Nothobranchius furzeri: one gene and its partners. The protein of the gene in region 3 purifies or fractionates together with the protein of the main gene of each other region. This does not show direct contact. Links are inferred from orthologs where the notes say so. Each region holds a gene or a part of one and is shown on either strand. Other genes may lie near its edges. The genes, in order: h2ax, hmg20a and phf14.

The links.
Region 1: the proteins of phf14 (region 3) and h2ax purify together in Homo sapiens (affinity purification with mass spectrometry; 3 studies listed by BioGRID and IntAct, counting the BioPlex papers as one, with this or other methods). This does not show direct contact. The link is inferred for Nothobranchius furzeri from reciprocal best matches to the Homo sapiens genes PHF14 and H2AX.
Region 2: the proteins of phf14 (region 3) and hmg20a purify together in Homo sapiens (affinity purification with mass spectrometry; 3 studies listed by BioGRID and IntAct, counting the BioPlex papers as one, with this or other methods). This does not show direct contact. The link is inferred for Nothobranchius furzeri from reciprocal best matches to the Homo sapiens genes PHF14 and HMG20A.

The regions. Positions count from the first base shown.
Region 1 is NC_091750.1:47,427,528-47,430,537, reverse strand, and holds h2ax (histone H2AX), read right to left. Parts: upstream 1,567-3,010; 5' UTR 1,544-1,566; coding exon 1,037-1,543; 3' UTR 615-1,036; downstream 1-614. UniProt on the Homo sapiens protein: Variant histone H2A which replaces conventional H2A in a subset of nucleosomes. Nucleosomes wrap and compact DNA into chromatin, limiting DNA accessibility to the cellular machineries which require DNA as a template.
Region 2 is NC_091754.1:44,442,429-44,446,783, reverse strand, and holds the start of hmg20a (high mobility group protein 20A), read right to left. Parts: upstream 2,949-4,355; 5' UTR 2,828-2,948; intron 2,749-2,827; 5' UTR 2,635-2,748; intron 1-2,634. UniProt on the Homo sapiens protein: Plays a role in neuronal differentiation as chromatin-associated protein. Acts as inhibitor of HMG20B. Overcomes the repressive effects of the neuronal silencer REST and induces the activation of neuronal-specific genes.
Region 3 is NC_091751.1:23,896,903-23,901,101, reverse strand, and holds the start of phf14 (PHD finger protein 14), read right to left. Parts: upstream 2,809-4,199; 5' UTR 2,609-2,808; coding exon 2,608-2,608; intron 1,247-2,607; coding exon 1,136-1,246; intron 998-1,135; coding exon 255-997; intron 1-254. UniProt on the Homo sapiens protein: Histone-binding protein. Binds preferentially to unmodified histone H3 but can also bind to a lesser extent to histone H3 trimethylated at 'Lys-9' (H3K9me3) as well as to histone H3 monomethylated at 'Lys-27' (H3K27ac) and trimethylated at 'Lys-27' (H3K27me3).

The DNA of each region.
Region 1 (3,010 bases), on a different chromosome or scaffold from region 3:
AGTGATGATTTGGACACGCAGCAGCAGCTCAGGAGGTAGAGTGGGATGTCCAGTAATCAGAAGGTTGTAGGTTTGACCCTTGCTGTCAGAGAATGCTGCTGTTGTGTCCACGGGCAAGACGACTAACCCACCTTGTCTGGTGGTGGTCGGAGGAACCAGTGTACAACAGGCCTCGCCTCTGCCAGTGTTCCCTAGGGCAGCTGTAGCTACACCGGATCTCCATCACCACCAGCGTGAATGTGCGTGCATGGGTGAATGACTGTGTGTGTGTGTGTGTGTGTGTGTGTGGGGGGGGTTGGGGTAAAAGGGCTATACAAATACAGGCAATTTACTACTTTGCAAGTACTATTATTTTTTCTGCAGGGATTCTGAAGTTAGTTTTTATCGGACTGCTCATCACCCCTCAGTCCAGTAAGTTGAGTCAGTGGTACAGGGACAAGAACTGAAAAACGTGTAAAAGAAACCACAGAGGAAGCCATGAATGTTAACACTATCTGCTCGCGTGTTTTTCTCCATGTGCAATAAGGAAACACCTGGAGCTGCTTGAATAGACAGCCGTTAGTACATTTCATTTGAGACTTCACCACCACACAAACACGTTTCCAGGTGACAGATGTTGTCTTGCAGAACTTTTAATGAAACCGTTTTGTTGTGAACAGGCGTTTCACATGATGAAAACATACAGCAGCCCTGAGAACCTGAGTGCAATGCATAACAAATGTTTAGTTGCCAGTGTGTGCAGCTAGCATTGGATCTGGTCAGTTGCAGAAGAGTTGCTACTTTAAATAACATTCAAGGATGAAAAATAAACTCAGGATGAAGATTTTCAAGTGACATTTCAGGCTAACTGGGGAAATTTAGCCTAATCTTGTTTCTTAGCAAAGGATCTAGCCTGAAAGAAATTACCTTAACACAAGCCTTCAATAACCCAAACAAAATATGCTTTGAGCGACATTGATAAACTAGAAAAGTTGCCCTTTCGGTCGGTGGTTGGCCCTTAAAAGGGCCTTTGGGTTCATTGTGGTTAGCCGTGAAGCTAATACTCCTGAGACTGAGAGGACGCCTTCTTTCCCGCCTTGCCGGAGCTGGGTGCTGCCTGGCCGGCCTTCTTGGGCAGGAGGACGGCCTGGATGTTAGGCAACACGCCTCCCTGAGCGATGGTCACGCCACCGAGCAGTTTGTTCAGCTCCTCGTCGTTACGGACAGCCAGCTGAAGGTGGCGAGGAATGATTCGGGTCTTCTTGTTGTCCCGAGCGGCGTTGCCAGCCAGCTCCAGGATCTCGGCGGTGAGATACTCGAGGACCGCAGCCAGGTAAACAGGAGCTCCGGCGCCCACTCTCTCAGCATAGTTTCCCTTGCGGAGGAGACGGTGAACACGGCCCACAGGGAACTGCAGACCGGCGCGGGAGCTGCGGGTCTTCGCCTTGGCGCGGGCCTTAGCACCGGTTTTACCTCTTCCAGACATTGTTGAAGATCTCTTCCACGAATATGATTTCAATGCAGAAAATCGCAAAGTAGAAAGAAAAAAGGCTCGCCGAGCCATATATAAGCCTCCACGTTAGTCCCGCCCCAAACTACTATTGGATGCTAGAGAGAGAAGCTCTCATTTGTTTGGCTTTAGGAGATCAAACGTTCCAGGAAGCCAGTAACTATTGGTTTGGCTGCTCTGGCTCTACACCAATCATCGAGGAGTCTGACCAATAGACAAAGGTAATTGGTTGTTTATTTGTTCACCCAGTTTCACGCGGGTCACGTGTCAGAAGGAAGACCAATAGACGGTCTTCCCTCCAGCTTTAAACGTTTTGGCGCGTTACCGAACGAAAAGTGAACATTTCAAGCGATTTAATGAGTATTGATACAGTAAAGTATTGAATAATGTTGTCAGGGTTTTTGACCAAGATCGAAATGTGGTGACACATGTATCACAATTATACATGAGGACAATTTATTAAAATGCGCAAAATGTGCTTGAAGTAAGCTTACACTGCACAAACTGTGTGAGGGAGGGCCAGCAAGACATGGAAAATTCCACCATCCTCCCCCACTGAGACGAAGCTAATCCTAGGCAGCTCAGCAAATAACCATTTTACTGGTAAAAATATATACCTTTTACAAAAACAAGACCATATTAACTAAGTGCACAATCAACATTAGGGTTGAAAAATAATTTATTTGCAATAAATTACATTTTCAAAATATAACTGGGGCCTCACATCTTGAATTTTACAGCCACTTTTTCAAATTACATTCACATATCACTACATGTATATGTATGTGTGCTTTCAGGCAGGAGAGTGGTTTTGATCTGTTCTGCATTTTTAATTAGTTTGACAGTATTGTCCATACAGTACTGGCTTAATGTTTGGCATGTCCATTTGATAATATTTAATCAGATTAAATATTTATTTAAAAACACAGTAATTGAATAATTGATTTTGGTTGTTATGAGGTCCCAAAATTATTGCAGTTATTTCAAATGAGGTTTTTATAAGAGAAAAAAAATCATATGTACAGTTTTACAATTGGTTCTGATTGCTGCAGCAATTATCATTTTGTGTGTCTAGTTGTTAATATTTTTTTTCCAGCCCTGAGAGCAGTTCCACGTATAAAAAACTCTTAAACTTGGTTCTAATTGCCTGAGCTGAACCCTGACAGTCCAAGTGGATTGAATTAAATATGTTTATGACAATAATTCTCCTAAATACAACATTTTGCTGTTTGTGTAATATAAATTAATCAAATGTGTGACTGTTTGTTGTAAAATATGTTTTCTTAGTGAAGCACTGAGCTGCTGCAACTCAGCTATACCTGATCATTGTAAATCGTTTACCGACATGTTTATTTTTAAAGTTGATAGTCTTTCTTTATTTTTATTTTTTATTTTTTACAGATTAAGCTTATTGCCCAGCACGAGATGCCTGCTGACTGAACTATCAAAATCAAACCATAGTTATGATATTCCACAGAAAATAATTATCACACAAAATTACGATAAATACACCATCTTCTC
Region 2 (4,355 bases), on a different chromosome or scaffold from region 3:
ATGCTGTACTGCAGTCTAAATGAAAACTAATGATGGCGGTTTCGACCACGCCAGTCACGTACTTTGAGATTGATTAGCTTGTAAAAGTTCGTAACTAGCATGACTACATCGGCACGTCGCATATGTGACGCTACCGGCTGCTACGTACCACATGACCAGACTTATGGCGGTTCTTTCCTCCTGAGGAAAAGATTCGAAGTTTTCTGAACTTACAGCCATTCTCCCCATTTTCCCCGTGTCTGGTTCAATGACGTCACTGTGGTGAAGCGCATTTGTAGTCCTGGACTTATTTTCACACAAAAGCTAAAATAACGTTCCCCCCGTTTGAGAATAAGCACGTTCTTGGTATCAAGATGTGTCTTCATCATAAATCATATGTGAAATCCATGGAACAGAACAAGAGGCATTTTTGCATTTGTTTTGTTCCTCTGGGGACCCGTGGTCTGGTAGGGCGTGGCTAAGGCTCCCTGTTGTTTGTGTAAAAGTTCTTCAGTACAAGGTTTAATGACAACTATCCAAAGAGGCAGAATTTGCATTCTGAACCATTTAAACATGGTCCAAAGGGAGACCTGCATCAAACAGCCACACCTGCCATGGAAAGTCAAACCAGTAACAGGGTAAATAACAGCACAGACGCTACATCTCATGTCATTACCAAGTTTTTGCTCTTTGTAAACGTGTGACCTGCAGGTTTATAACACTTTATACACCCAGCCATCCCATCATGCAACACGCTACAGCACCCGACGCGTCGTCTGACAAAGACTGGTAATTACATTAACTGATGCTGTAAATAAATAGGTCTTAAACAGATAGAAATAAGTTGCTGATGCTGATAGATAATAATGCATCTCTCCGAGGGACTCGTAGCTGCTGTACTTAGTTGTTTTTATTGATCTTTATTTATATAAATACACTGTCCAACTCTTGCGGTCAGTATTTGTCAGATATTTTTACCAGGTTGGGTCTGTATTAGTACGCTTCCATGAGTTAAACCCCAGCCTAAACCCTGTGGGTCATAAACTATGAGCAAGTGTACTGGCTCTTTTATGCTCGGAGGTCTTTTTGAGGATCTTGTTTTTTTCTTATTTATTTTTTCCTCTGGTTGGGCCCTGTGCTGTTTTATGAAAGAACAAATAAATTGATATTGATTTAAAAATCGTATCAATCGAGATCTAAATTTCAGTCAAAACAATGGTGATCATCATTTTTGCCATAATGGAGCAGCCCTTTGTGACACCTGAAGGACCTGACACCAGAAATAGGATTTGCTCCTCATCCAAACTGCTCCCAACAGAAATGTCACTGAGTCGTTTACTTTTGTTATCAGCAGGAATGATGTCACGGTTCTCCTCTCAACTAGAAACTATGTGGATGTAAAGACAAACAACTGAGAGAGCTAACCAGCTACCAGCACTGAACTCTCCTTTAGCTCAGCCGCTACACGCAGGACCACCTCAGGTAAAACCGTGTTCTAGCCTTTGACCTCTTCTGTTAAACTCACACACTGCCTACTGAGAATTCAGCTCTTTCACCAATACCATCAGTGGTGCTTGACATGCACCCCTGAAGGTTTCCAGACGTCCCCTAAAACTATGCAGCAGCGCCTCCTGATGGAGCTGAGCTCACAACGATGTCGAATCTGGACTAAAAAAGCTCCAGTTCCCATTTAGACACAGTGAAGAGTCAAATACTCCAAATGCACACTTCTAGTTGAGCTGGCCACAAGAACACATCTTCCAGCCCTGAGATCTGAGGAAACCCGATAAAGTTGTTTTATTTAACCAGGAAAGACTCTTGTGAGTACAAGTGTCGTTTACGAGGATGCACTGCAATTTAAGATGCAAATGTGTGCTAATGTGGTTCTGCATACAACACGGGGTGTTTGTAGGCAATAATACTTTGTGTAGATAACCATAATGATATAAGAGCATCTGCGGCATCAGTGAAAAACCAGAAAACTTTCCTCACAATTTAACTCTGAAAAACCCAGGTAACATTTTAAAATCACATTTTCCTCAAAAAGTTGAATAAAAATAACACAATCATTTAAAAAATAGATCCGATGTACACACTTTAAACAAAATCCTATCATTTTAACGTTGTTAAAAAGCACAGTACAGACAAAACGAACTATTATGGGAAAAATGAGATATTTAAACATTTTTTGTTTATTGTTTCGCCTGTAACAAATTTATTAAATTAAGGCTTGCATTAATGTTAGTGACCGATGTGATCGGAATCACACTTAGGTATGTAAAGTGGGCAGTAATGCTACTAAACACTGTTGTCATTTAAACACAAATAGAAACAAATACAAGGACTGCTAACAGTTAGCGTCATGTAGCACTTAACGCTACGGCTAACTAACGCAACAAATTGTCAAAATGGGCTATTTCCTTGTTTGTTTCACTTTAATCAAATATCAAACACATTAAATTATATTCAACTGAAGCTATAATCTCGTAAAGTAAACGTAAAACCGTTAAGCTAGTAGTGCTCCTAGCCAGACCAGCTAGCATTAGCGTTAGCTCCACCAGGTCTAGTCTTGAAGGTGCAGACATAAAGGTGCAGCTTTAATACAGAAAGAAACACTCACTTATGTATTTTAACGCATTAAATGCAGATACTGACCTTGTTTATCGCGACCCGTGGCTGTTCCTGCTCATTTATTTCCCAATCAAAACAATACAACAACAACGCGATAGAGCTCTAACAGATAGCGAAGCTGTTGGGTCGTGGTTCCGCCTGAGTAAGCAAATAAAGGGTCACATCACGCAGTTAAACACAAACAAATAAATAATTAGGATGTGCAAGAAAATCACACCTTATGGAATTAAAGAACGAGAGCCACAAAATATGTTGATAGGGATTCGTCGCTGAAAAGCTGGTCTATACTTTCTAGCTCTGTGCTCTCTCGCTCTTTGTGTATTTTTACTCAGAAGACTAACCAGGCTCTGCTGCCCTCTAGCGGTGGCGCTGCTCCATTACAGTGATGGAATCATTCAGCCCCCCGAGAATGGCGAACTTCATTAATTAAACTAAGGAAGCAAGCAGCAGCTAATGGCTTGTGAATGTAATTAAACAGATGAGATGGAGAATAGTTTATTTTGTTATGGATTTTATGCAAAAAGCAGGAAAAATACAAACTCAACTCTGCCCAGTTTTGTGTGGGTTTCAATAATCCATCCAAACTGAGAATGTTTCCCACACTGGAAGCCAAAGAAAGAGTAATACATTAATTCGAGTTTAACAGCTGAGATAACTCCAGCAGCATTCTAATTGAAATTTTGATTAGAGCCTTATTCCAATTACCCAGAGTTATTCCACACAGGTTGGACACATCCATCCACTCACTGGGTAATACAATCACAAAGAAAACAGAAGTGTATTGACATCTTAAATGTAACCAGGTTGCTTTCAGACATGAGCGATCTAACTCTATAAATAATAAATGAAGTTGAGCTATTGTTGGAATTGAAGCTCGGGTGGTGATCGACTCATTTCTGAACGACTGTGTTAGAAAACAAACTAAGAATTCTCACAAGAGCCTCATAAATAGGGTGAAACTGAAAGGATTCTGGTGTAAACATAAAAAAGCTGGTCCTGATAGGAAATGAAAGATGCTGGAGGCTGATTTCGTTCACCCACAGGAAAACAAATGCAGGAGCAGGTACACAAATGAGTCTGATTACTTGTGGTTGAAAGAAAAGAGCATCTGCCAGCCATGAGATCGTCTCCACAAGCACACGGTTTACATCCTGTCAGTGCAGAAAGCGTCATGAATCAGTGAAAAGCCTCTCTGCTGTGTAGAATCATGTTTGTCGCTAACTGGCTGATTGTGAACACAATAGTGATTCAGGCCAACTGTTTTGCTCCCAGCAGAAACATGGTTGGCATTGTTTAGAGTATGTTTTAAGATTAAAGCATCAGTGCATTGTGCCTCCGCAGACAGTTTGTTGAGCCAGGTTCAATCGGCTGTCAGCCTCCTCAGATCCCAGCATGCCTGTAGGGCCCATCATCACAGCTGTCCCACTGACCTTGCATCCACCCGCTGCGCCGTGCTTCATCATCTCCTCCATGCTTCAGAAGCTTCCTGTCTGTCTGCAGGCTGGCTGGCCCGGAGACCGACGACATCGACACAAACGTGTGATCCAGCCCTCCTCCAGGGTGTGAGGGTGGTGCACGGCATGCTGGTGTGAAAAACCGGGTCAAAGCTTCAGCTATCTTCAGCCATCATCCTTGATCTGGACCTTCTTCATTCTTCCATCCACCTTGTCCTGATCAGAACCACAGCATGACGTTCATGTGTTGTCCCTCCATCTCTCCCGTAACACTTTGCGTTGTGAGCAGCT
Region 3 (4,199 bases):
CACACACACACACACAAGCAAAATATACTTGTTTTCAATTGCATTTATTGGGCCCACTTACTTTTTCTTTGGCCCACCCACAAATGAGTTGCTGGCTACATTAATGGTGACATATGACAGACTTCTCTGAGCTCCGCAGCCATTACACTTTTCACCTCGCGCACCCCCTAGCGGCAGCTCTCGCACACCACACTTAGGGAATCCCTGATCTAGAACCTTCTCAGACTTTGTGAGGTGTGGCTGTGTGCTCTCACCTCATTCCCCTTTCCTTGGGACATGCTGTCATTGGTCAGGTCATCATCAAAAGCACTGCTGGTCTTCACCTTCTTCTTGGACTTCTTCACCTCTTTCTCACTATCACTACTACTGTTGTTGTTGTCATCACCATCTTCCTTGTCATCGTTGTTGTCATCATCGTCATCGTCGTCGTCGTCATCATCATCATCATTGTCATCGTCCTCATCGTCGTCGTTGTCGTCACTGGCACTGCCTCCTTCTTCCTCCTCTGTGCCGCCTTTCTGAGCAGCTGCTTTTCCTTTCTTCTTCTCTGCCGTAGGCCTCCAGTCGTTATCGTCTTCACTGTCATAGTCGTCCATCTCATTCAGCTCCTCCATGGTTGTAAAGTCCAAAAGGGGACGGTTCCTTCTGAAATTCCATTTCTTGGGCTCAGTCGGCGACTCCTCTGCATTCCCACTGCCAGCTCCGGATGCTGAGGTAGATTCAGGTTCACCAGCTTCAGCGGGGCTGGGTTCCGCCACCTTCTTGCTCGTCCTTCTACGTTTGGACTGGGTGACAGAGGGTGTGTCTTTGGTGGAGCTATCTGAGGATGGTTTGACCTTCTCCTCATCCTCAGTTAGGTTGTCTTCAGCAGCCAGGTCTTTGGCCCCCTCCTCCTGACCATCATCAACAGAAGCAGCATTGTCCGATTCATTTTCTGAGCCTGCAGCACTGACCTTAGAGCCCTCCTCATCACTGCCATTGCCGGTACCATCAGACCCTATCAGAACATAGAACACAAATGGGTTTGAAACACTTCCTTTAGTGTTGGTCTGTTGTTCCCACAGGTAGAAACAGAGACCACCAGCCTTGTGAACAAGACACAACTCTTGCTTTGCAAAGTTTGGTTAGGGTTTACCTGATGCATCTCCAACTTCAAAGTCACTGTCATCAGAACTGTCATAGTCCAAGGCATCAAGGAGAGAGGCAGCAAGTGGCTTCACCTGCCGTCTCTTCAAGCTACGGTCCACTAACAGAAAAAAACAAGTTTGAGTAGGCTGTCGTGAGCACGCTGGGACATTTAGATGCAGCAGTTCACAACAGAACCTTCTTAAACTACCCAAAAACAATTTATTACAAAAGGATCATAATTTTATGTAAAAATTCTAGCAACACTTGTTCAAAACTATTTTAAATGAAAGTCCATCCATGTCAGAATTTTTTAGACGTAGGTCATCTTTTGAATAGAAATTATGGCATTGTCTTCCTTTTGGTTAAGTCACAGATTCAGTTAGCATTCTGACTGAGTTGGAGAGTGATTTCCACTCTGTACCACAGAAAGTCACAAAGATTTTAAATGTAGAAAAACGTTTTTTCCAACTGTCTTTCCTCACTGTATCAAAAATGATCCAAACCTTGACATGAAAACTAAAGTATTTCCCGAGCCAGGATTTTAGGTGTCCAGTTACGACCCCATTCACGTATTACGGAGTTTCATCAAATTCCATCAATGTCTTCTGCTTTTTTTTTTTTTTTTTTTTTTTTTGCAAATGAACAAAGATAAAAGGTCCTGGTCGAAGAGGCCCATGTCCAGTGTGGTACACACCCTGATACCAAACAGCACTGTGATAACCGTGCCTTTAGACACGCAGACTGACTGATAACCAGAATAACCTGACCTGTTTGCTTTATTAATTTATGGTGACCCGAAATTTTAAAGCAACGTCTGGTTTTCATCACCCTTTTTTTTAATTATTATTATTCAGTACTTTTGTTAGCTACAAATCACTTCTTATCAGGTTTTACTGTCGATAAAGGATCTGAACTTCTGCACATTAAGTTAGTAAGTACATGTAAGTACTTTACTTACTTACATTAGCTGTCCCCACAGCGTCCCCGATTAGCCACTAGCACACCGCTAGAAATCTGAATGGGATTACATAAATGCTAAGCACCAGCTGCTCTGCCCTAAATGTAACCACACAGCCCTAAGTATCCGTGTTCAGCACCACACCATCAACAAAGCATCAGTTACAGTCTTAGCCAGTCGCATAGATTCTTGTTCTCTAAGGTAGCTAACTGTTGTTAGCGCTAGCTAAACTGATTCACAAAAAACTGCGGGGCAGTTTTATTAACAATTAAACCACTTCAAGCAGACCCGTGTATGATAACAGAGCCTTACATGATAGGATGGGGTTACATCACCGGTGAAAGAAACGTATAAAGGTAGACTTTAAACTACATGCTAACACCAAACGCTAATCAAAAGGCTAACACTGCTTTCAACTTCTAACATTAACTTTAGCTTGCTAGCTAGTTAAAACAACGCTTTGTATAAACAACGTGATCGAAATAAGAAGAATGTAAACTCGAAATGAAACAAAAACTCACTGTGAACTCGTTTATTTACAGGACGAGTGAGAACCAAAACAGCATGTTACATCTGGACAATAAGAGCACGGTGGTGACTTAGTTACGTCTGGATGTTGTTTCTATGGAGACAGTAAACCCGATACATCATGGGCCATTTATGCAGCCAACAGACAGATCACTGCAGCACAGATGTACTGATCCAAAGCTTTTGCTCAAGTTTATTTACTTTTTGTTTGTTTTTTTAAACCTAGAAACGTTTAAAGTGAAGTGACCCGGAAGTATTTATTTGTTGAACTCATTTTTTTTCACAAAAACTTTATTAAACAGATTGCAGGTAAAACAACAAATGAAGAATATTACATTTACATCAACAAACAACCAGGAGTGTTCATATATATACAAATGTATGCCCACGTTCAAACATATGCTGTTATTTTGTTAAATTTGCATGTATGAATATAAAACTCTCATCAGTTCAGATAAAAGGATAAACTATGACCAGATTTTTTTAGCAGTTCAAGAATAGAGCAGATGTTATCCAATTACCACAAAATGTTGGCAAGAATTGATGTTTCATTCAATAACGTAAAAAATTAAGTAATATTCAACAGTATAGTGTAAAATAAAAAGATGGATTTTCACTCTGCAGTTCTACTATTTATTTATGCAAATCTCAATTGGGTATGAACTAAACTGTGTGATTCAAACCTGCAAATAATTGTGTGACGGAATAGTCGTTACTTTTCTCATTAAAGCCCAATAAAAACCACTTAGGCACTGAAGCTCATTTTCCTATCTGTGGCAACTCAAAGGGGCCACTTTGGTAATGATGTATTTTATATCTGATACAAACACAGACCCACTGTCAGCAGGTGAGGGGTGACACCTGGTCAGGTCACAGTCCATGAGGCCAACACAAGATCTGTCAGGCTTTTCAAATCCTAGCATTTCACCATCTAAAAGTGTGCATTCACTTGTTATTCCAGCACATTTGCTGTGGTCTCTAGTATATAGTCAACCTCTGTAGAAAAAAGCTCTGGCGTTCCTGTTTCAGGAAGTAGAAGTTAGCTGTGGGTGCAGAAAACAGCAGGATTTGGAATCATTATTCTTCCTGATGTTTGGACATCTTGCATCGGATTGGCAATGCAACTCTAACACTAGGCATGTTTCCATTACCAGAACTCCAGGGTAGTTCCTGGGATGGGGAACTTGACCAGGAGATAGGATGTCCAGGTCTTCTCAGCTGTTGTGTCTCTATTGAAATCCAGCCCTTTTTTTTTTTTTTTTTTTTTTTTTTACCGTGTCCTGTCTGGCTGTGAAGCAAGCAGAATTGATGTCTGAATGCTGGTGACAAGCCTTACAGATTTATTCTCAGGTGGAGCATCAAAGCATTTGCTTTTAATGTCACGCCTGATACTTAAAACTTTATTGTTATTGTTGTTGAATGCTTTGTAATTCCGACCAGACACGGAGACAGAGGTGAAAGAGAGAGGAAAAGAAAAGGTGGGGAGAGAGAGAGAGAGAGGGGGGGGGGGTTTCCACAAAAATAAACAATAATGAACAAGAGTCTGCTTCTAGACCTGCAGAAAAAAGACAAAAAAAAAACAAAG